Linked DNA regions of Struthio camelus. Each later gene encodes a partner of the first gene's protein in a complex. Links are inferred from orthologs where the notes say so. Each region holds a gene or a part of one and is shown in the gene's direction. Other genes may lie near its edges.

Evidence for each region.
Region 2: INTS4 (region 1) and INTS12 share a complex: the UniProt entries of both Homo sapiens proteins name them as parts of the integrator complex. The link is inferred for Struthio camelus from reciprocal best matches to the Homo sapiens genes INTS4 and INTS12.
Region 3: the proteins of INTS4 (region 1) and INTS7 are in contact, whole or in part, in a cryo-EM structure (PDB 8RC4), measured with the Homo sapiens proteins. The link is inferred for Struthio camelus from reciprocal best matches to the Homo sapiens genes INTS4 and INTS7. Residues at the interface, in NP_291025.3 of Homo sapiens: Glu536, Met539, Asp540, Arg571, His572, Ala574, Tyr575, Asp578, Ser579, Ser610, Phe613, Arg620, Leu624, Leu627, Gly631, Glu634, Leu635, Phe638, Arg641, Asp642, Arg645, Leu646, Glu648, Leu649, Gln650, Lys677, Leu678, Trp679, Asn680, Val681; in NP_056249.1 of Homo sapiens: Lys137, Asn138, His140, His141, Arg144, Gln145, Gly175, His205, His206, Asp207, Ala208, Ser244, Ser245, Leu246, Val247, Lys282, Thr283, Pro284, His285, Thr286, Thr321, Ile322, Lys325, His326, Gly686, Tyr689, Glu704, Gln707, Gln708, Leu711.

The regions. Positions count from the first base shown.
Region 1 is NC_090942.1:220,411,196-220,418,427, forward strand, and holds the start of INTS4 (integrator complex subunit 4), read left to right. Parts: upstream 1-4,163; 5' UTR 4,164-4,242; coding exon 4,243-4,296; intron 4,297-4,911; coding exon 4,912-5,106; intron 5,107-7,232. Other genes in the region: BTB/POZ domain-containing protein KCTD14, read left to right, coding at 1,896-2,573. UniProt on the Homo sapiens protein: Component of the integrator complex, a multiprotein complex that terminates RNA polymerase II (Pol II) transcription in the promoter-proximal region of genes.
Region 2 is NC_090945.1:26,092,829-26,099,981, forward strand, and holds the start of INTS12 (integrator complex subunit 12), read left to right. Parts: upstream 1-4,109; 5' UTR 4,110-4,352; intron 4,353-7,153. UniProt on the Homo sapiens protein: Component of the integrator complex, a multiprotein complex that terminates RNA polymerase II (Pol II) transcription in the promoter-proximal region of genes.
Region 3 is NC_090944.1:114,004,739-114,012,324, reverse strand, and holds the start of INTS7 (integrator complex subunit 7), read left to right. Parts: upstream 1-4,515; 5' UTR 4,516-4,771; coding exon 4,772-4,862; intron 4,863-5,227; coding exon 5,228-5,357; intron 5,358-6,224; coding exon 6,225-6,371; intron 6,372-7,586. Other genes in the region: DTL (denticleless protein homolog), read right to left, coding at 307-422, 1,512-1,577, 2,272-2,392, 2,484-2,545, 2,878-2,976, 4,007-4,132, 4,305-4,350. UniProt on the Homo sapiens protein: Component of the integrator complex, a multiprotein complex that terminates RNA polymerase II (Pol II) transcription in the promoter-proximal region of genes.

The DNA.
Region 1 (7,232 bases):
CTGGTCCCAGACCAAAAACATAACTCAAGACCCGACCGCACATCACGTTAGTAGGGCTATTCTATTAGTGAAGAGTAAGTTTTCCATGGGTAAGAGTACCAAATGTCATGGAACATTTGACCTGCTGTCTGTAAAAGGAGAAAAGGCTCAGCAGCAGGAGAGATTCCTGTTCAGTGACCTCTGTTAAGGAGTGAAGCTGAGCTGCTCCTTACCATTTGGGAGGCTTTACTATAGAAACAGCTTTGGGCTGTGTTCTTTAGGAGGTGGAAATCAGCAGGTGCTCTCAGATAGGATCATTTGACGCTCCTCTGGCTCTGGTGTAGATGAGTGCTCTTGAGATGAAGCCGCTTACCCTAGAGTTACTGCAAAACAATATTCCAGCGGGGTCTAAATCTGATAGCTTGTGGCTCTTTAAAAGGGAAGCTCTCCCTCCTCTGCTCTGGCTTGTCTGTTCCTAGTCCCCTCATTTTGCCAGCTCTGGTGCTTGTTAAATCCTTCGTGAGCCAGTTCAGCTCACAGAAATGAAGCAGAGCCAGAGCTGGCACAAGGGGAGCGACAGAAGCATGTGGGTAGGTACAAGGATAGAAAGGGGAGAGGGCAGCAGGAGCTCCTCGCTTTTTTTGACGTGAGCTGTTAGAGCAGCTCACGTCATCTCATGGGTCTGTAGCTGCAAGGCACCGTGGGCTGGATCCAGCTAAGCGCTTAAGTACACGCTTCACTTTAAGCATGTGACTAGTAGCGCTGAAGCAGATCCTTGCATGACCGAATGCAAGAGCAGGTGAGCTCCTGGAAAAAGGGTTATTTATTGACTCACGCCTTCCCAATGGCAGGTGTGGTCCTCGGCAGGCATGTGACTCGCATTACAGCCGTGACGTGAGGGTGTGAGGGAAAATAACTGCCTCATTCCTTCCCTCTCCTTTTGCTGTACTGACCACTATAAAAACTGGCTGAGTGCAAACGGAGGCTGTTAAACTTTTTCTGCATCAAACAGTCAGGAAGGTCATCCCAAAGTGACGCAGCGTCCAGCCTTTCTGAGTATTCAGGCCCCTCCAAATTATTTCTGAGAGCAGTGGCTTTAAAGTGCAGTGTCCCACACAAACAAATCCAACCTGGAGGCTTTACGTTCTTTCTTAAGCTCATTTCAGTTGCACGAATTATTTTATTTTCTGTCTAAAGCTATCATACATTTTTAAGCTTGATAAGAAGCTGCTGTGCCTGACCACAGACATGCTGGATTTTAGTGTCTTAGTTCTGTGTTTATAGCTAATTCCCCAGAAAGGTGAGAGTCAATCCCGCACATTTCTAAAGTTTCAAAGAGCTTTAGTTCCGACTTTAAAGAGAAAACATTAATTTAGGTGAGAAGAATAGAGTTGCGCACACCTTTGAACTCTGTCTTATCCCGCTGCGTTGAAGCATCAGGAGTGTGAGAGCGCAGACCACTCTGAAAGGAGAGTGGTCCAGAGGACCACTTACGGGACCACTTGGTCCCATTTGCCTGGACTTAGGAGATCCACATTGAATCCTTCAGTCTGTTACTGACAACTTCCCAAGTGACCCTGGGCAAGTTACTTCTTGTCCCTCTTTCCCAATGGCAAAATGAAACTTTTCCACATCCTAAAGATGCGATGAAGGCTAATCCATTTAGAAACATCCAAACATCTGCCACTCTGGTTATGAGGGCCATATCCATATCCTGCATCTGCTTTTAGCAAGTAATGGCCTGCAGCAGACGGCTGAATGTTCCCATCTGTCAACCAAGCGATGGGGACTCACACAGCTGGTCATGCTGCCGTTCCAATTTCCAACTGCAGTTAGCATTTTTCCCTTTCCCCTGATCCTTCCATACTGACTGCCTGAGATAGGTAATGCGTGTTATTTCTGTCCCTTTGTGATAGTTGCAGTTGTCACCAATAGTGGAGTTAAATGTTGGTGGGGAGATGTACACGACAACGCTGAGCACCTTAAAGAAACACCCCGGCTCCAAGCTGGCAGAGATGTTCACCGGCCAGCCCAAACTGAGGACTGACTCAGAAGGGAGGTTCTTCATTGACAGGCCGGGGACCTATTTCAAATATATCCTGGAGTATCTGCGTAGTAACCAAGTGCCCACGCAGTGCATCCAGGACGTGTACAAGGAGGCGTTGTTCTACGACATTGAACCTCTCATCAAGCAACTAGAAGACTCCCCTCAGATCTTTGGGGAGCTAGTGGCAAGGAAGCAATTTCTGGCCCGCGTGCCCAGTTACAGTGAGAACATCGAGCTGATGATCCGCATTGCGAGGGCAGAAGCGGTCGCTTCCCGCCGGTCCAGCGTCATCGTGTGCGTTGTCAGAACTGAGGAGGATGCTGCCAGATGTCAGGATGCCTTGAACAGCTTGGACATGGACAAAAAATCCGTGGTGAAATTTGGCCCCTGGAAGGCAACGCCAAGTATTTCTGATCTGCTGGACTGCATTCAAATGGACGTCGAATCCAAAGGGTACAACATATCCTTTCAGCCCCATGTTGCAGAAAAAGGGTTTCGCTTCAAATCCTATGACTACTTCTACAAGTTCCTGTTCACCTGGTGGTAGCAAAGTGCCACCATTGACGGAGAACGGAAAAAAGCAATTATTCAAACAAATTGACTTGGATTGTGGAGACCAAGCCACGGACTACCGGAAAGACAGGAAGAAACGGATGAGCCAGTGAAAGGATCTCCTTTGACATTTCTTGCGAAATTAAACAGCACTTACGAGCCACTGTTTTGTTAGGTATTAGAGGATAACTGTGCATTTTAAAAGATAATGTGTTTAGAAATGTGGTACGACCTTTTCCAAAACGCTTATTCCCTTCATGCCTTTCAGTCACTTTTACTGACTACACTGAGAAGTAACAGGCCTTGCAGAGGCAGTCCAGCCAGGAGGAAAAGGATGAATTTTATTCTATTTTATATGTTGCTGACTATTGGATAAGTTCAGAGGACCAGGCTCTGTGTTTCATTCCTCATTGTTTCTCATATATTGCCAGGCATGATCTTTTCTGGTGGAAAAAAAGGTCTCCTGCAATTCCCAGTGGCGTCAGTGAAATTAATTAATTAATTAATTCATGCCAACTTAAATTTGGATCTTCAACCAAAAGCCAAAAGCTCTGGTTCGCGTTCTTTCCCGTACCAGATCCTAGGTAAAAAGGGATTTTGGTGTCCCGTTCTCTCCTCTTGTTCCTCCAGCAGACAGCCTACTCTCTAGCCAATGTATTTATTGCCGTTATTTATTATTTATTCTGAAGTGAAAACAGAGAAGCCCAGCTGCCGTGCAGGATCAACACAAGGTAAAAGTACTGCTACTAATCCAAGGAGTTTATAAACCGATGACACACGCTCCTCCCTCATGCCACACTATTCACTCTTTCCCTTGTGACAGCTATTATTATTCTTTCGTTTTTATTTTATTTTATTTTTTTAGTATAAGCTTCTGCGAGAATAAGGACAACTCGCAGTGATTTGACTGGAAGGGAGGACGGCTGAAGGAAAACCCTGAGGCCTCGGCGGCGACGTCGCCTTGCCGGATGCTGGATCGGGTTCTACGTCGTGTTTTTGAAACTTTTAATATTCCAGTTTGTTTTTTGGGCTGGAGGTGGCTGTCAGCGTGTTTTCCAGTCGCTCTGGGGATACCTGAAAACCGTTACGGCTCGTCTGGATTACGGCTGTGTTTCCTTTTCTTCTCAAAACGTGGATTTCTTCCAGCTAAGGGCGCTAACCCCCGGGTTGTTAAATAAACGTACCTCAAAAGCTCTTTGAATGACGCAGAAGTGCTTTATTTACGGGCCTCTTCCCCCCACCCCCTTCACCTCCCCCCGGTTTTATCTTTAAGCGATTGGACTCGAATCACTCCCTAATTACGCTTGGTTTAAGCCGTGCTCGCCCTCGCAGCGGTTCCCCCACAGCCAACGGCAGAAGTCGCCCTGCCGGTTCCCGCTTTAAGGCTTTGTGGGGGCGGGGGTCTCGCGGCGCCGCCGTTCCCATGGCAACGACGAGCTTTCCCCCCCCACCCCCGCGCTGTTCCCACGGCAACGCGGAGGTTTTTCCCGCCCTCCCGCCTCTCTGACCATAGAGCGTTGACCTCCAGCTTTGCAGCGAGGACGCTGCCTCGCCGCGTCAAGGCGGTGGTTTCTCTTCCAGGCCGGGGAGGCGGGCGAGGCGCGTACGGTGGCCGCGGAGGGCCGAGCCGGCGCGGGCGGCGGCGGCGGCGGCGGGCGGGCGGCATGGCGGCGCACTTGAAGAAGCGGGTGTACGAGGAGTTCACCAAGGTGGTGCAGGTACCGCAGCGGGGCTCGGCGGCCGCGGAGGGAGCCCCAGAGGTGCCTTGCGAGGGGTGGCTCCGACAGGCGTTGCCGGGAAGGCCGCTAGCGTCCCGCGGCCTAGCCCAGGGGGGAGCCCCGAGGCCTAGGGCCGATGTTTGCCCGGACTCGGGGGGTCGGGGGTTGCCCGGAGGGGAGAACCGGGCTGCCCCGGGGTCGGGGAGACGGCAGTGGTCCCCTCAGGGTTGAGGGGAGGCCGCCTTGGTGCCGGGGTGGGGGGCAGGAGCTGCCCCAGCCAGGGGCGGGGGGGGAGGCAGAGTTTGCCCTGTGGTGCCAGCAGTTTTCTGGGGTGAGAGTGGGGGAGGCAGGACCTGCTCCAGGCTGGGGTTGGGGGCGGGGAGGAGAAACAGTGTTTCTGCAGGGACGGGGACTATTTGGGCAGAACAAGACCTGGTTGTGGAGGGGACGCTGTTCCCCTGCATGCCTGGGATGGAGAGGGAAGAGGCCAGCGGTGCTGAAGGCACCGGAGCTGCCCCAGCCTGGCTTGGTAGTAGGATAGTGTACCCACCAGGAAAGAGTGGGTATGAATTTGCTGTGTGTTGCCGAACCGTGCCTGTGTGCCTCTGCCTGCAGCAGCAGCATGAGGACCTGTCCACCAAGAAGCTGCGGCTGACCAAGCCCAGCAAGTCCGCGGCGCTCCACGTCGACCTGTGCAAAGCCACCTCGCCAGCAGATGCCTTGCAGTACCTGCTCCAGTTTGCCAGGAAGCCTGTGGAAGTGGAGAGTGTGGAAGGGGTTGTCAGGATCCTGCTGGAGCATTATTACAAGGTAGCAAAGCTGACAGCCAAGCGTGTTTCCAGACTCCTCTTTCTGGCCTTGTTATCTAGAAGGATGGGATTAACTGCAGAATAAGGAGCCACTGGCCTGTGGGTTGCTAATTCAGGCCTGGCTCAGGCTCTTGGAAGCCATATGTGACAAGAGTGAGTGACTAGCCCTTTCCTCAGATGATTGCTGGTGGTTTTACTTGGCAGCTTTGCCAATAGTTTCAGGAGTCAGGTGACAGGAACGTGAACTGTGTTATCCCTACAGATGGCCCCTCCTAGGCAGTCTGAAGTTAAGCTGGCAAGGACAAAAGAGAGCTCAAGAAATTGTCCGGAGCACTAAACTGTCCAAATCTGGCCCAACTTTATCTAAGTCTGTCCCAACTGATGTTTCTTTACCTTGCTCTTAGTTTCTTCTTACAACAGAGAAACTTTGTGCTTACGCTGTGGGCAAAACAGTTTTAACATGATGCTTCTGAAAAACTCTTCAGCTTTTCAAAAAAAAAATTAACAACAGAAAAATAGGATTCTGTGTGTTACTGCGGAAAAATAACAAATAAGAGAAGTAGCGTGTGCATCATAGTATCAAAACACTGGTCCTTCACTTGATAAATCACAACTTTATTGCAGCGAACAAAGCTGCATTGCAGGCGGAAACCTTCCTCATAAATGTCCTTATGCTACTTCTAACTTCTTCCTTTACTTTTAACTGTACTCTACTTTGAATTGACACTTAAACTGTAAGTTACATTTTATTTTTTTCTATACTTTACCTGCTTTGGGTTGCAGATTGAGACTGTTTTACAGCTTTCTGTGTATTTATCATTAAATTTTTTTGGAAACTACTTTTCATTGTTGGGTTAATCTACACTTAAGAATATACAACTTCAGAAACTTAACTTGCTATAGTTCCATAGCTTTCCATGAACAGAACTGTGGTTCCTGAGCAAATAACGCTGTTGGCGTTTTTGTGTTGCAACCTATGTCAAAAGGAAGACTCTTAAATTTACAGATAAGGTCAGATTTTCAAGTGCACAGCCTGTGAGAGAAGTCAGATTTTAAAAACTCTTGCAATCCTAAACCTGCTGTTATTTTGCTTAAGGTTAACATTTTGTAAAGAACTAATTTGCTAGTATCTCTAGAAAACTACACTTTAACTGGTCTTCAAAAACCTAGCACTGAAAACTAACTGCAGCAGAAGTTGTACGATGATGTGCTGTTTGTAGTGTCGTTTTTTTGTTTAAGGTGGTTCTGCAACCTGCTGCTTATTCATTATATTCCTTTATATTATAGCAGGTCTGCAGGGCTGTTTGGGAACTGTTCTCTGAAATGGATTAGAGAAATAAGATTACTTTTTTTTTTCCTCATTTTTCACCTCGTGTGTTCCCATGGCCCTGCTAGCAGTTGAATCAACATGGCTGAGTGGGTGGCATGTAGTAATGAAGGGGAGAAAGGGAAGGGACAGAGTACCATAAGCTAATATTGCTGTCAGAGACAGTGTGCCCTCAAAGAGTGACCTGAGATGATCCTGAAAGTCTCTTCCTGACTCCTGAGTGTGGCCAGGACCAGGAGTTAGAGGCACTTCACCTACTGGTGTTTTGATCTTGGAGACAGCAATCAGACCCCTAGAGTAATAGAATCGATTTCTCTAATTTCCTTCTCAGGAACCATGAGAAGGAGAGAGAATACGCCCTTTTCTGGGGCAGGCTGTCCATAACTTGCTAATGATAAAATTGAAGACTTTATTCATAAAACTCTTAAAAGTGCCTTTATAAGCATGCTTTTTGAAGTTTATGATTTCATCTGTATCATGGGGAGGGTTGTCCTTTTATTTGAAAGAACATGAGTAATGTGTGTAAGCACCGGATGTATTATACTGTGGAAATCTGTATTGTCCACTGACATAAGTAGCCCAACTGCAATGACTGTTGTTAAAGCACTTAATTTAGGCCCTGGAAAATGAAAACAGTTCTCAGCTAGGTTTAGAAAGAATTTTTTTCCTGGTGCTGTAGTATTTGTCACTCTGGAGAGACTTGATCGCTGTTGAAAGATGTAATTTTTTGTAACTACGTATTACTGCAACTCTGTGTTCCAGGTTGCTCAATTGCTTGGTCAGAGCTAAGTATAGAATCC
Region 2 (7,153 bases), on another chromosome or scaffold:
CCTTTCTACTCCGTTTCAGGCCCAGAGGTCTCCTGAAATAGTTGAAAGTGGCTTGAGGCTTGAACAGCTAGTCCATGGAATATTATCCTCACTGGCAGAAAGAGTACTTCATTCTTATGCTATTATAATCACAATCAGACCCTGCCTCTTTTACCATTTCAAGCTACACAAAAGCCACATATGCATCATTTCACTCTGAACACATTACACACAGAAAATTATTTATTTCATTCTCGTATTCTACTATTCTGTTTCTATCTTATGAGATCATTCATCTTCACAAAGAAACACTGGGATTTTTTTTCCTATATAGTCCCAAGGATATTGCATGTATTTAACACTTATTCTCCTATCTCTTGAACTCGCAGCTTGTGAACTCACAATCATTTTATCATCTAGATCTTTTTCCTCTCACTTTCCCAGAACTGCATCAAGTATAGCTGATGATTTCCCTCCCTTTTCTTCCACACATCCAGCCCCTTAAAAAGGACCATTTTGCCTCCTGCTCTTTCTCCACCTGCACTGCATCTCATAAATTCTGCAGGTGTTACCCCACAAAGGAAGCAATTAGAAAAACAGCTAGAGCTCAACAGTTGAGGAAACCTTTTGTAAGTCACCTTTTACCTATCTCTGAATTATAAATGCAGGTGTCCCTCTCTAATACACTTTCAACTTCAGAAAGCAGTACTAAAAGTTCTCTTGCCTTTACTTTTCACAAACAGTTACCTCGAGATGGGCAGTGTAATTTCTGACCTCTAAGTTCCATAGTCTGTGCAACTGTCAAATGATAAACCTAGCTTGGTAACTTACGGGTTTTTGTTTGTAATTCATCTTTAAGTTAGGAGATTTAGATTAATCCAGGTTTCTCTTGCTCTTATTTCTCTAGACATCAAAAACCTTTTAGACACAAAAAGTTAGTTCGGTAACATTACCTCAAGCATCTATTTAGGAAATTTTCTTTTCCAGTCTCAGACAGATAGTGACCAATGCAAAGCCACCTGCTATGTTCAAAGGGTCCCTATCCTCTGTTCCTGGTAATGGTTTAAATAAAAGATTTTCCTCTACCCCATTTAATCACTTCATTTTCTAGAATTATCAAGATAAAGGCACTGTTATTTAAATATTACAACAAAGATACTTCAGAGCTCATCAAAGTTTTCATCATCCACATTAGCTAATACCAGAAACGTGGCTTTTGCCCTGGTAACAAGTTTTGCTGTGTACGGTTAAAATAAAAGAACAGCACGCGTCACCATTGTTAGAAAAGCCCAAGTTCTGAAGTTTGTCCTAATCCATACATGCAGTTCAACACTGCATAGACACCACTGATATCTATTGTCTCATTCATGAGTAGATCACAGTAATAACTCTTCACTAGCTCCCACAGGAAGCACTGAATCTTCTCCCCTTATTGCAACCATATACTAAAAATGGTTAATCGAATATGATGCTTACTAGTATTTTTTTCCTTAACTTTTGTGTCAATTTAAATTTTGTTCTTTCACTGCTTTGGAGAAAAGTTTGCAGTTTCTTAGCAAACTGGAAGAGAAGTGGATGTTGTAAGTTATGTACTTTTCAGATCAAGACCAAAAAACAGGCAGGCTTTTTCAGACTAAAAGATAGGGAGGACTAGTGGCAAAAAATGTCACTCTGCTTTCTGCGCTGAGCTTTTCAGCACTGACGCTATTGCTTTTATACTTCTGATAATTTCCAATAACCCTAAAACTTCTAAAAGCATTTTTAAACAAAATGTGCTTCTGTAATGACTGTGAATCGTTATATAAACACACTTATTTCAATAGAGCAGCAGAACATTTGATTTGGATTTATTTATACAGTTAGTTACTGTAAAAATGTTTATGCCTCATCATCATAACATCAGAATTTCAGATAGGTATACCAATAAAGTTAAAAAAAAAATGCTACCTCATCACTGGGACTTGCCTCCCAATAGCCTCGTAAGGACAAAGGTTCCTGAATTTCCGTTATGTAAGAGAAAAGGCTGAAGCACAAGGGGAGTTTTTAACTCAATGTCACACAGGGAACGTGTCCTAGAGCAATTGACATTTTCCTTAAGGGATTCCCTTGTGGATTTTGAAGTTCAGTCTATAAATATAATATAAACTACAACTAGGTTAATTTTGTTCCAAACAAGTCTTTTACAGAAAAGAAAGCAAAATAAATCTCTCTGGGAGTTCTATCTATAAATGACTTACCTGCGTTTCTTTCAATTGTCCCTTGTGCAAATGTACTCAAGCCCTTCTTGCATAATCACTTCAACCAACTGTACACGCTTGCACTACCATATGTCAACCCACTCCCATCTTTTAGTTTAGATACTAACAGCCTATCCCTAAGCACAGATCTTTATAAAGCCTGGGTTTTTACCTTCCCCCTCCTTCTTCAAATTTAGTTGTTTTTCCCCACTATTTTGGCTCTGCAGGGTACATCTTACTTCTGTGTTTAAGCACAGCCTTTCCTTTGAAAGTATGTATATGACTGCCACCCTGCTGTTAAAGGTGGTTAATTTAAGGATCCACTGGCAGCTTACTGAGAGAGAAACACCCAGACATTCACAATAAAACAAAACATAGCACTAACAAAACTTACAGGATATCAGATTGTTCACTGTCTTGATGGTAATGCCTCTTCCCACACGTTTTACAGTTTAATTAGAGAAGGAAGAGTGTGGGAAGAGATGGACTTGTATGCTATATTACTCATATTTACAGTAGCTGCTATTGATATTGTGAAATGAAGAAGTCAGCTGGACAAAAATAACAAACATCACAGTATTTGCAACATACTTTAAAGACAAGAAAAAAGTTTTTTGTCTACATTTAGTGTAACAATCATGTTGAGCTGCTTAATATCTATTAATCATGCTTATTTTTCACTAGTAATATTGTTTGTTACCATTTCTGTTTCTCTCTCTACAGGCACTAAATTCCAGCTAAATTAGTTTTACTGAGCTATCACGCTAGTGATATAGTACAGAAAAGTGTTTAAAAAAAACTGTTTCCAGGAAATATAAATGAAAAACTAAAAAAACCCACACACACAAAACACAAACATTCACTTCCTTTTAGTTCCTGAAAAGGACCTTGTTTATTTGTTGATTATTCTATAGGAAAACAAAAGGTTTTTTTAAAATAGAGACAGTAATGTTTGTGAAGTGTTTGATGTTGCAAGTCATTTAAAGACATAGTTTCCTCTAACAAATATTTAGCTTAACAGAAAACAGTATTTGTGCTTTAAGAGAGATAACTTTGCAAATCTGAATTAGATGTCTGTTCACCAGACCAATTTGCTTGTAAACTTTAGGGCTACCGTTATATCCTCAAGTGAATCCAAATAACTGTATGATTTTCAAACCAGAGAGAAATAGAGAGGCATCTGAATTTCAGACTAGTATACCAATAAAAAATATATGTATTTCAGCAAAGTAAAGTATGAAGAATACAAGACAAACCTTAGCAAGGCAGCACACTAAAGTTCAATTATTGCAGAAAATAATGCCACTGAGTAAAAATTCCTTTGCGGAACGATGACATAAAGCCTGCACTGCGACCTTCACTCAGCAGTCTGTCAGTCCAGAAAAAGCAGACCAAGTGTTCAGACACGGAGAATCACTGAAAACCAGACTCCAGCTTTTTTTGGTGGTTTGGGGGGGGGGGGCGGCAGATGGAGAAAAGCTTAAAGAAGAGTCCCCCAACTGCCAGATGAGGAAGACTACAGGTGTCTTTTCCTTCATCAGTTATTAGTGCTCTTCACCAATAAACGCCTCGACCGCCAGTTTCCAGCCAAACCTCGCTCAGGAAACAGAAAGCTAACGGCAACGAGGGCACGGGCAGGCGCCGCGCTTCGCGGTCAGCGAGCCGTGAGGGGAGGAGGCGGCAAACGCCGGGCTGCCGAAGGCGGCGCGCCGATACCCGGCGCCCGTTCTCCCTCCGTCGCCACCACCCCCGGCCTCTTCCCGCCGCCAGTAACGGTCGCGTGGAGACCGCCCCCCCTCAATCCCCAACGGCTCCGGGCCCGGCGCGCGAGGCGGGCGCCAACGGCCGCTTACCCTGTCCCGCACGTCGCCCAGCCGCTTCCGCCCTGGCCCCGCCCCTTCCTGCGCGAGCGCCCGCTCCGGTTGTCTTCCTCCCTCCCTCCCTCCCTCCTCCACGCGGGCACGACCGGAACCCGCCGCCTCGGGGCTCTCGTTGCGCGGGGGGACGCGAAAGGCGACGGACGCGGCTTGGAGGCTGAGCCGGGGGGGCGGGCGGGAGGTAGTGGTGGTGGTGGTCTCGGTGGACGCCCTCAGTCACCCGTTCGCTCGTGCCCGGCCGTGCCGTGCCGGCCCGCAGGTAAGGGAGAGGGCACCTGGTGAGGGGGCTGGGAGAGCACGAGACCCCTCTGACCGTTACTCTGCGGCTCGAGGGGCGGCTGGTGCCGGCGTGGGGGGAGGGGTGGCCCTGTCGGCGATGGCGGTTGGAAAAGAGTTTGAAGCGGTTGCGGGCAGTTGCACCCCCCCCCCTCCTCCGCAGCGGCGCGCTCGTTGCCGGGGCTCCAGGACCGGTTCAATCCTGGTGGTAGCGGGTGTGGCAGGGTGCCCCCAGCCCCGGAGCTGCCTTTCGGGCCGCTCTTCTCAGGGCAGTGAGTTTAGCAGACGCTTTCCACCTCTAGTCGTAGCACTCTGAGCTGTGTTTCTCTCTCTCTTTAGTCTCTCTTAGCTGGGTGTTCAAGTCAAGGCACTAGAGTTTAGTGTCAGCTGATTGCGTTGTTAGCGCTGTAATTAGGCAGAGGGGTTCATCTCTTTCTTTGTGGTGGGGACTTGCCCTGGGCTCAGCTCAATAGCACAGAGCACACGGAGCCACCGCTGGGGACGGGAAGGAACAGACCAAGCAAATAGAGCTCATGTATGCCCTATTTTACAAGACGTATGCATTTCAGCCGAAATTGTAAGTTATTTTTTTGGACTGCAGCATATGGAGGCATAGAGAGCTTTTATTTTCTTTAAAAAAGAGTTTTTAAATAAGAAGCCTTTATTCATTCTTAAAGGAAATAAGAAGGGAAACTTGCAGCAAATATGCTGCAGAGTGTGGGGTTGTGGCTTTGGTGTAACTGACCCAAAAATTCAGTTTTGACTAAAATTTGCAGCTTCCACCTGGAAATCACCAGGAAAATGATATCTAGGGCATTTGCACACCTAATGAGTTTCAGTAAGCAAATCATTTGAACTAGGAAGGGGTGAAAAAGATAATGAAGAGAGGTAATAATTTGCTAGTGATTTAAACTAATAAGCAGTGGCACCTATTTAAACAGTGTTTTTAGGTCCATTTTTGCAGAGCTCTGAAGCTTTGTGGTAGTAGGGGTTAGCAAATCTCGGTTGCATAGGTACGATTATCTCATTTACTTGGTTTTGACAAAACCATTTGTGTGGCAGCATAGCTTTATCAGAACAAAAACCTTTTTTAGAAGGGTAACTGATGAAACATCATGTGTGGAATTCCAATCTAACATAGAACCTGTACTTGGAACCAAAGACGTGTTAACTTGCTTTTGAACAATAAATGGGCTTAGGATAACACCACTCGAAAGGGCTGTGAGAAACTTATGTTTGAATTAATTATATGTATAAGTAGGAGTTGACGCAGGGGATCTTCTCTATCCCAAGTGAATTCTGTACGCTATTGTTCTGTCACCTCTTTTATATTTGTTTTTTAAATTAATTGTTTTGATTTTTTTAATCAAATAGAATATTTCTTTTAAGTTTCCACTGTTTTGCAGATAGCTCTGGTGGATAATCTCTCTCTGTGAACTTTAGGCTCAAAGAGTCTTACTAGACTGGGATATGCACAGGATTAAGTCTGTATCCTCTTTTATCTGTGCACTTTATTTCAGGTGGCTATCTGAAAAAAAATAGTGGATCATAAGAAAAGAATGTGAATAAAAATCAAATCTGATATTAAAGATGGCTGGAATTATACTTGAACAGCAATTAGCTGGATAAAAAAACAAATATGGTATTGTATCAGGGTTGGGAAGGTGGCAAGAGAGATGTTGACTTGCTAGACCAGTAAGCTGTGCAGAATCCAGCTCAAGAGGCTGAGGGTAGTGCAGGAAAAAATGGGATTATTTTCCTCTTAATCAATTTTTTTTTTTTTTTTACAAAAAATAAATTATCTAAAGGTAGGAAGATACATGCTTTAGATTTACTTATTAAAGGCTGAGGAACTGTCTAGATTCTCAGATTAGAAAAGAAAAACGTGAAGTCAATTACATTCAGTCTATCCAAATTCTGAAGTAACTTAAATGACTAAACCACTAACAAAATTATAATGTTACCAAAATGCCCTCTTCCACCCTGGATCTTCATTTACAGAATAGATACAGTGCTCTGGTAGCTGAGGGGGAGGAAGTGGCTCAGTCAAAGGCAGCTTCAGAGACTGCAAAGCCTGAATTGAGTATAGGCAGCTGAGGAAACAGGCTATGTGCGGTCACAGACCTATGAAACGATTCAGTTACTGACATGTGATGGGATGGCTTGCGCGACTGGAGTTCTGTGATACACGGAGACAGGCTGCCTGGGAAAGATGCGCAGGAAGAATAGTGTGTGTAGGGTTGCCTGTTGGGGGAAGGAGCAGCATGGATGCATGGAACTCTTTGGTGGAATATGGGGGACAGTCACCACGAGAACTTGTGGGTCAGGAGCAGAGGAGGAGCCAGTAAGGGTGACAACATCGTGGGAGTCTGTTATAGACCACTTGATCCAGAGAAAATGATGCATGATTTCTTCTTTAAGTAAGTTGAGGAAGTGTCCACATCACAGACCCTCCCCACTATTTGCTCGGAGGGCAGTGCAGTGGGATGCAAGCACTCCAGGAGATTTTTAGGGTGAGCTGAGAGTAACATCTTAACACCAGTATGGACCAACGGATTGGCCAGCCTGGGGATGTGGTCTCCTGAATCTGCAGTTCATGAGCAAGGAAGAACTGACTGGAAACATGATAATCAATGGCAACCTTGGCTGTAGTAACTATGAAATAGTGGAGTTCAGGCTCCTGAGGGGAGTGAGGAGGGTGAGTAGCAGAATAAAGCTGTGCTTCAAGAGAGCAGACTTTGACTTCTTCAGGGAACAGCAGGTGAGATGCCATGGGAGACAACT
Region 3 (7,586 bases), on another chromosome or scaffold:
TTAGAACATCCCCTCCTCCCCAAAAAGGAATGCTGGCCATTCCTCCTCTCTGGAAAAAAAGGTATGTTTTCACATGGCATTCGCACAGCGATGGCTTTCACTTATGTAGGTTATTAGACAGTTAAACAGTGCCTAAAGTTAGCTAAAGCAGGTGACCATGAGACAAAAACATGCTTCTGCAAAGATAAATTGAAGCGTTTAGCATATTTAAGCTAGATATTCCTTGCAATTTCTTAGGAAGACTACTATGCATAACACTGTCCTCCAAACAGAGGCCAACGTTTGTTTTGTCTCCAAGATACCTACCACCAAGGGAGCAAGTCCTCTCAGGTTCTGCCTCCTCTTCTTTGTTTTTGAAGGAGTCTGCTTGTCAACCACATTGTGTGCGCCACTGATTTGATTCACCTGCCTATAAAATCCATCTGAAAGAAATCAAAGACATCTCAATTAATAGTTTCCATGCCAACATGATCTTGCCATCATTTTATTAAACAGACAGCAGTTTGGAAAACTTCCTAAAAAGTGGCTGAGATTGACCTTTAAATATCATAAACGCATTCTGAAAACAAAAATTGTTAGTTACATATGACACTGATGAGAAAAACACAATAGAAAACAGGCGCATACTCTATATAAAAAAATTGCCGCAGTCAGTGTCGCTTGGACACCGAAGCTAAAACTGGTACAGCCAAACTGCCTTTGGAAATCACTACCCTGAAGTCTTCAGCACGCATCCTGATTAGGAGCATTCAGCAGATTTCATCCAGAGCAGAACATGCAGGCAGTTTTCCAGTGTTCTTCCACTCTATTTCCTCATTTTCTATTTACCCTTTTGTCCCGTACTCCTCACTTGATCAGACTCCGATTGCTTTACAAGCCTTGTCATAGAAGACAGTTACTTTATACTTTTTTGCCCTGTACCTTCCACTTCCGTTATGCACAGCTTCCCTTTTCCCCCCACTTGCTGGGTCAAGAGTTAGAGAACCCAAGAGAGATGAAACTGTGAGACGTTCTGGCAGCACACGTCAGGAAACTGCTGGAGACAGAGCAAGAAACTGAGAAGAGATTTAAGGGCATGACCTGGGAAGGAAAAGAGAGACCTTCTCCAGGAAGCAGAAGGAGGAGCAGAAGGAGCCCTCCACCTCACCCTGCTCTCAGCAGTTATTCCCCTAATACATTGAGTTGCTTCCAAGAACTACAAGCCCTTAGGCTCTTGTGTTTTGCTCTCCTTCCTGCTCTGCCTAAAGTCTTCTCAGCTTTGCTTCATCCCTGCAGATGCTTCTGCACTGATCACTATCGCCCAGCCAATCTATCTCAGTGACCTCCTATCCAAGGATATATTTTGTGCTCTCTGCATCTCCCTACTGATACACAGTGTATTGTAAGGACAGCATGTAGATCATGCTGCAAATCTGAAACTGTTACAAAGTGGCAAAAGCTCCAGTCCAACAAGTATATTTGAATATTACTTCCCACACAAGATAGTAAGCCCTTCTGTTCAGTTCAGTTACCTTTCTTGTTGCATCTGATATCCCAAACCATGATGTTTCCATCTCTCCCTCCAGTACAGAAGACAGCTGGGGGTGGGGGGCGGAGAGAGAGAGAACTATTAGCATCCAAAGGTGTTAATTTAATTAACTGAATTCAGTACAATCCCACATATGTGCCTCTGGCTCTTCTGCCCCAACACTTGGGATGCCAGTCCCAGATATACGCAAATTGGGCCTTGATCCTGCAACACTTAACTGCTTTCCTTACTCTGCCTAGTCTTTCCTTACTGCTCCAGAAAGGACTGCCTGTGAAAAGAGTTATTTAGACACTTCTCTACGTAAATAAGGGCTGAATGATTCCAACATCATGTCTTAAACTTGTCCAAGATTAGAAACGTGCAGATACTAGCATCAGATCACCTGCTAGCATCTGACACCTAAGGCCCTAATTTTACTGTAACTCTAACTTCCTCGAAGCCAAGATAAATTGTAATAATACAATATGATGTAAATATATGCAAAATATACATATGTATTTGCAATAATATATTATATTTTCCCAAGAAAACAGCAAAGCTTAAACAGTGAACGCACCTTCTATCCCTAAAAGAAGTTCCCAAAAGTTAGTTTCGCTTCGTTGACTAGGTCACTGCTCACAATCTGCCTGAGCTATTTGTGCATTACCATCGATTTCTAAAGCCCTTTTTTACCCTCATAAGTATTGATGTGTAAGGGGAAAAAAAGGGGGAGAAACAGAGGAGCAGAAAATGTCAACGTTTACCTTTCTCAAACCTAGAAAAAGCAACTGACTTGAGGCTACACTGGTGACCTTTGCATATGCCAAGAAGCTCCCCAGCTCTCACATCCCACACCTTGGCTGTCTGGTCTCCTGAAGCAGTGACCTTAAAGAGAAAGAATAAACAGCTTTAGTCATTCTCTGCAGCAAGTTGCCAAAGCATTAAAAATAAAGTTAGATGGCAAAAGTCTTCTTACAATTCTGTGTTCCCCTGGTACCCAGGCAATGTCAAAGACAGCATTTGAGTGAGCTTGCCATTCTGACAGGAAGAAGAAAACCCAGGATTAGTTCAGTGCATTGCAACACGAAGATGTTTTGCAGAACGCAAAAGAACATCAGACACTGAAATCAAAATTTGTTACTTGTCAACAGCTTGCCTTAGGCGTGAAAAACAAACACAGAACAATTCACTTAGTAGTGCTAGTCTAAGAACATGCTCACACCGCTGTAAACAACACTCATGAAAGGATAGGAAAGGATGCAAGTACTGCCCATATTTGTGTGTAAACAACTTAGAAAAAGTTTTCTCTGATTCCAGTATATCATCTACTTGCCACATCAAATGAAGATTGTATTCTCTATAATATTTACCCTTAAAGATAAATTTGCTGCTAGATTGAGCTTCAGTGTCATACAGTCTAACGAATCCTTCTTCATTTGCAACTGCCAGTACGTGCTCCAGATTCGGGGCTGAAAGAAATTTTAATTTATTTGAGTACTAAGTAGATAATTCATGACCATCCCCCCCACCCTTGGTCAAGGGCCGCAAACATTTTTAATAGGGTATAGAGCAAATAGATTGCTGTGCCAATAAAAAATATTTATACAGTAGTTCTCATTTTCAAAACAAAGAAATATTGCCCAGCAATGTTTCTAGATATCCCATTCAAGAGTTACTATATATGGGAGAACCAATGGCTCAAAGAGCAGATTGTGAGATAACAGCCTCTTTTGGCAGCTGTGACAGTTCCTGTTTTACATCATTACTACCTGCCCTCTACAACCTCCAGTGCTTTCTACGGGTCTGAGATGGAAAAGCAGGAAGTAGCCTTGGAGAAAGGCTCATGCCAGTACTAGACTACTTTTGCAAATGAAAGAGTTGCGACCTAAAGGACAAAGACCTAAGCTTCTATGCTTACTTCATTCATCACGTATTTATCATGGGGAAACACTACAGGGATATCTATCATGGGGAAACGCTACATAGACATCTAGTGGCATACATCCTGCTCCTGATTCGCCACTCACTGTCCTTCATCCTGCTCCAGCTCTTATGTATTTTGCACAAAGCCCGATTTTTCAAATCTTTAGCCTAGTAGTGTCATAGCTGTACATTAAGAGGACAAACCTTGACACGGACAAAGCTGAAACAGAAAGCCATTACAGTAAATGCTTTGTACTTAGTCCCTTAACTGAATGCTTTCTACTAGGACAGATAGGAACTCCGTGATCCAGTTTATACCACACCTACATGCAGTTACACTGTTATCAGCTCACTTTAATGTAAAAACACTTTATCTCATGAATCCCTGAAAAAAATTACAAGGTCTTTTGGCCTAAAAGTTTGTCTGTTATAACTGACTATGTGATTTGCTTTGTCCTGGGTGTAAAACAAGAAACTGTGAAAACAAATCATGAGATTTTAAAATAAATAAGTAGACTACTTCCAGCACACGTATGCACAGTATCCACAGCCCGGACCTTCAGAAAATACCTTTACCTGCAGAAAAGGTGCAGCCGAAGGGCGGAACCGGCATTCCCACTTCTCCGTAAGACAGGTGGTCATCTTCCCGGCTGCACTGGTAGCCGTCCAAGAGGTGCTGCAGGGGATACGCCGACGACTGACCTGCAGGGAGACAAAGGGGCTGTAATGGCACCGGCCGCGCGCACCGCGGCGGGCCCCGTTGCGCCGGCGGCGCCGGGAGCGACCCCGGCGCCGGGCAGGGCCCTCCCCGGGGGGCGCCCACCGCCACGGGCCCGGGCGGCTGGGTCGAGCCGAGCCCGGCGGCGGCACTCACGGGGCGGCGCGGCCCAGGCGCGGCGGAGCAGCGAGCGGCACAGCATGGCCAACGCTCGGCGCGCGCCGACCCCCACCCCGCGGCGCCAACTCCCGCCACCCAACCGACCCGCCAAACGCGCCGCCGCCCCTCATTGGGCAGCCGGCGCCCGCTGCGCCCCGCCCGCTGCCTCTGATTGGGCGGAGTGGAGGGGCAGGGCCGCCAGGCCTCTCCCGCTCCCCGGCGACTCACGGGGAGCGAGCCGCCGGCCGGGGAGGGCCGTTGGGGCGCGCACGCGCAGTGCCGCGCCGCCGGCGCCGCGCTCCCCCGGGTGGCGCCTGCGCCTGCTCACAAGTCGTGCGGCGATTGCTTAGGCGCCTCCGGGCTGAAAGCGGCGGGAGGGTGATTGCGCATGCGCGGTGGGCAGGGGCGGCGGACGCAGCGGAAGGCCGCGCGCTCCCGGCGACCGGCTGTGAGGGGGGGTCGCTATGGCTGCCAGCGCCAAATCCTTCCTGGCCGATGCAGGCTACGGGGAGCAGGAGCTGGACGCCAACTCCGCTCTCATGGAGCTGGACAAAGGTAGGGCCGGGGGAGGCCGGGCCGGCTGCGAGGGCCGCTCTCGGGGGGCCGGCCTGGGGGCGGGGCTGGGGCTGCGCGCGGCGCGGGGGGGGGTGTTACCTGTCGCGTGGCGTCCGGGCGCGTGCGGCTGCCGTTGGCGCCGTTGGCGCCCGCGCTCTGCCCGGCGCGGCGCTGCAGGGGGCGGCCCCGAGCTGGGCCCTAGCGCCCGCCGGGCGGTGCGCCCCGTACCCCCTTTCCCCGCTTCCTCTTCCTTTCCTCCGACCCCCCTCGAGGGCGAGTCCCGGGAGCTTCCTTTTGTACCGCCCCACCGCCAGCGCGGGTGGAGGAGCTTCGGCCTCCTCAGTAGCTATTGTTGTCTCACACAGGTCTCAGGTCTGGCAAACTCGGGGAGCAGTGCGAAGCTGTCGTTCGTTTTCCCAGGCTCTTCCAGAAATATCCCTTCCCTATTCTCATTAATTCTGCTTTCCTAAAGCTAGCTGATGTTTTCAGAGTTGGGTGAGTATTATCGGTCAGTTTGTAATGCTTCAAATCTCTGGCCTATAGTAAGGTATTTTATCCTGAGGTCCTGCTACATCGGCATCTGGGCAGCTTTGGTGTTTTTCTGCTCGCTCGATAATAGCGCAGTGATGCCTAGTCTTTAGAGGACTGCGTCCGCTTTTCCTTGGAGCATGCCTGCTCCATCCTTAGTGGCTTAAGTGGCTGTGAGAGATTAAGTTCAGTGATGCACATTCCTCCCTGTAGGCACGTTCAAGATCAGAAATAATTGAACATTCAGATTGCTGCAAATTGCTTTGCTATGATGTGAATAGCGAAGACCACTGTATAGCTTTTCCAAGTGCCTGATGCCGAAATGATGCATGTGGCAGGATTACAACTGCTTTGTAATAACTTACGAAAATTATATGCGCAGAAAGTTTGCCTTTGATTTCATTTAAAAGATTCATAAGGTAAAACCAAGAGGAAGGAAAAGAAATTCACTCAAACCAGCCAAAGGTGATTAGACTTTAAGGCTTAGTTAGCTAAGCTAAGTTTTAGTTCAAGGCTTTTCTAGCAGAGCTGGGTCCCTAAGCATGTACAACACAGGTGTTCAGTGCGTTTTCATGGATGTCAACAGGCCAGTTTCCCTGGAAGAGAATTGGGCCTAAATTTGATGCTAACTGTACTATTAAAAGTAGTTTGTTAATATTTTCTTTTTAACTGTATCAGCCTACTGAAACGTACTATCTCTAAAGTTATAGACTTTGCCTCGTTTTAACTAACTCAAATATCTTTAGTAATCATTTTGCTTGCTTAAAGTGCTTTTTTGTTTTGAATTTCTGTTATAATACAGTCTGTTAAAGATAAGCGTGTATTTTCCAATAGAAACAACTTCCTGAGGCTGTGTGTGCTCAAAGTTACTCAGCAGAGTGAGAAGCACTTAGAGAAGATTCTCAATGTGGATGAGTTTGTGAAAAGAATTTTCTCAGTAATTCATAGCAATGATCCAGTTGCTCGGGCCATTACACTTCGGTACGTATTTATAACTTTCACAGAGATTTCAAGTAAGTCCGGTTCATCTAGCTAATTATCCTAGACTGGAATAACATAAATCTGTGATAACCATGAATGAAATGTAGGAGGTGTTTTGCACATTGGGCATAAAGATAAGAGCAGAGACAACCATCTTAAAGGGAGTAAAAAAAAAAAAAAAGGATTTGTGAGCAGAAGAACAGATTATTAACTACTTATGATGGTGAGAATTGTGTGGATGGCTCCAGGCAAAACTGAATTCACAAGACTGAAGTTTTATATACCCGAAAAACAGAAACGTTGTATGCATAACTGAGATTTTAGCTACATGCAACATATATTTGCGTATGATGGAATTAGATAAAATTGAAAAGCAGAGTGCTTCCTTATGTGTCAAATTAATTTTTGTTAACTTATAAACACAATTTATTTATGTGTACCTTGTTACGCCTGCATGTATTTTTCGTTGATCGCTGTCCTAGATGTTTCCTGCTTGACAGTCTCTGATCAACAACATCTAAGGAAGTGCTCATGTATTAGCCATTGCTTTGGCCTTCCTGGAATTAAATAAAAAAAAAACTTTTAAGCTATCTTTAATGACTTGTTGCCCTGGTGTCCGTCTTTGTAACACTGACCACTTGATCATCTTAATTGCCTCTTCCAACTCCCATGCAAGTGAATTCAGATGTGGAGAAAGCACTCTTCTTTCTCCCTTGCTTGTTCTTTTCTTCTGTCCATTCAGAACTGATACGGATTTCAGTATTGAAAGATGGGAGACATTAACAAGATTTTTTTTTAGCTTGTACATCCATTTCTTTCTCCTTTTGACATAATTATTTGAGATTCTGCTTTGATGTTCTAGTGTCTCAGAAATACGTGAGTCTGGTATATGTATAACTTTTCTTATAGTTTTCCTTCTGTATTCCAAGGTAAGATTACACTTGCTGACTAGTGTGAAGTGCCACCTTAACAGACTGTCAGAAGCCTCAGGAATCTGCTCAGTTTGCAAATATGCTTGAATTGTTCATCAATCCACAAGATATATCAAGTGAAAGACAGGTTAAAATAGCTGTTGGTTCAGCAGTATGAAAATCTTCAGTTGATCAGTTTTGTCATCCTTGAGTAGTATCAATAAGAAGGAACATGCCAAAAGAAAAGTTGGCTGAAACAAAACTTTGTGTCTAGGCAGGAATTTTATTGCTAGATAGCTGTGTA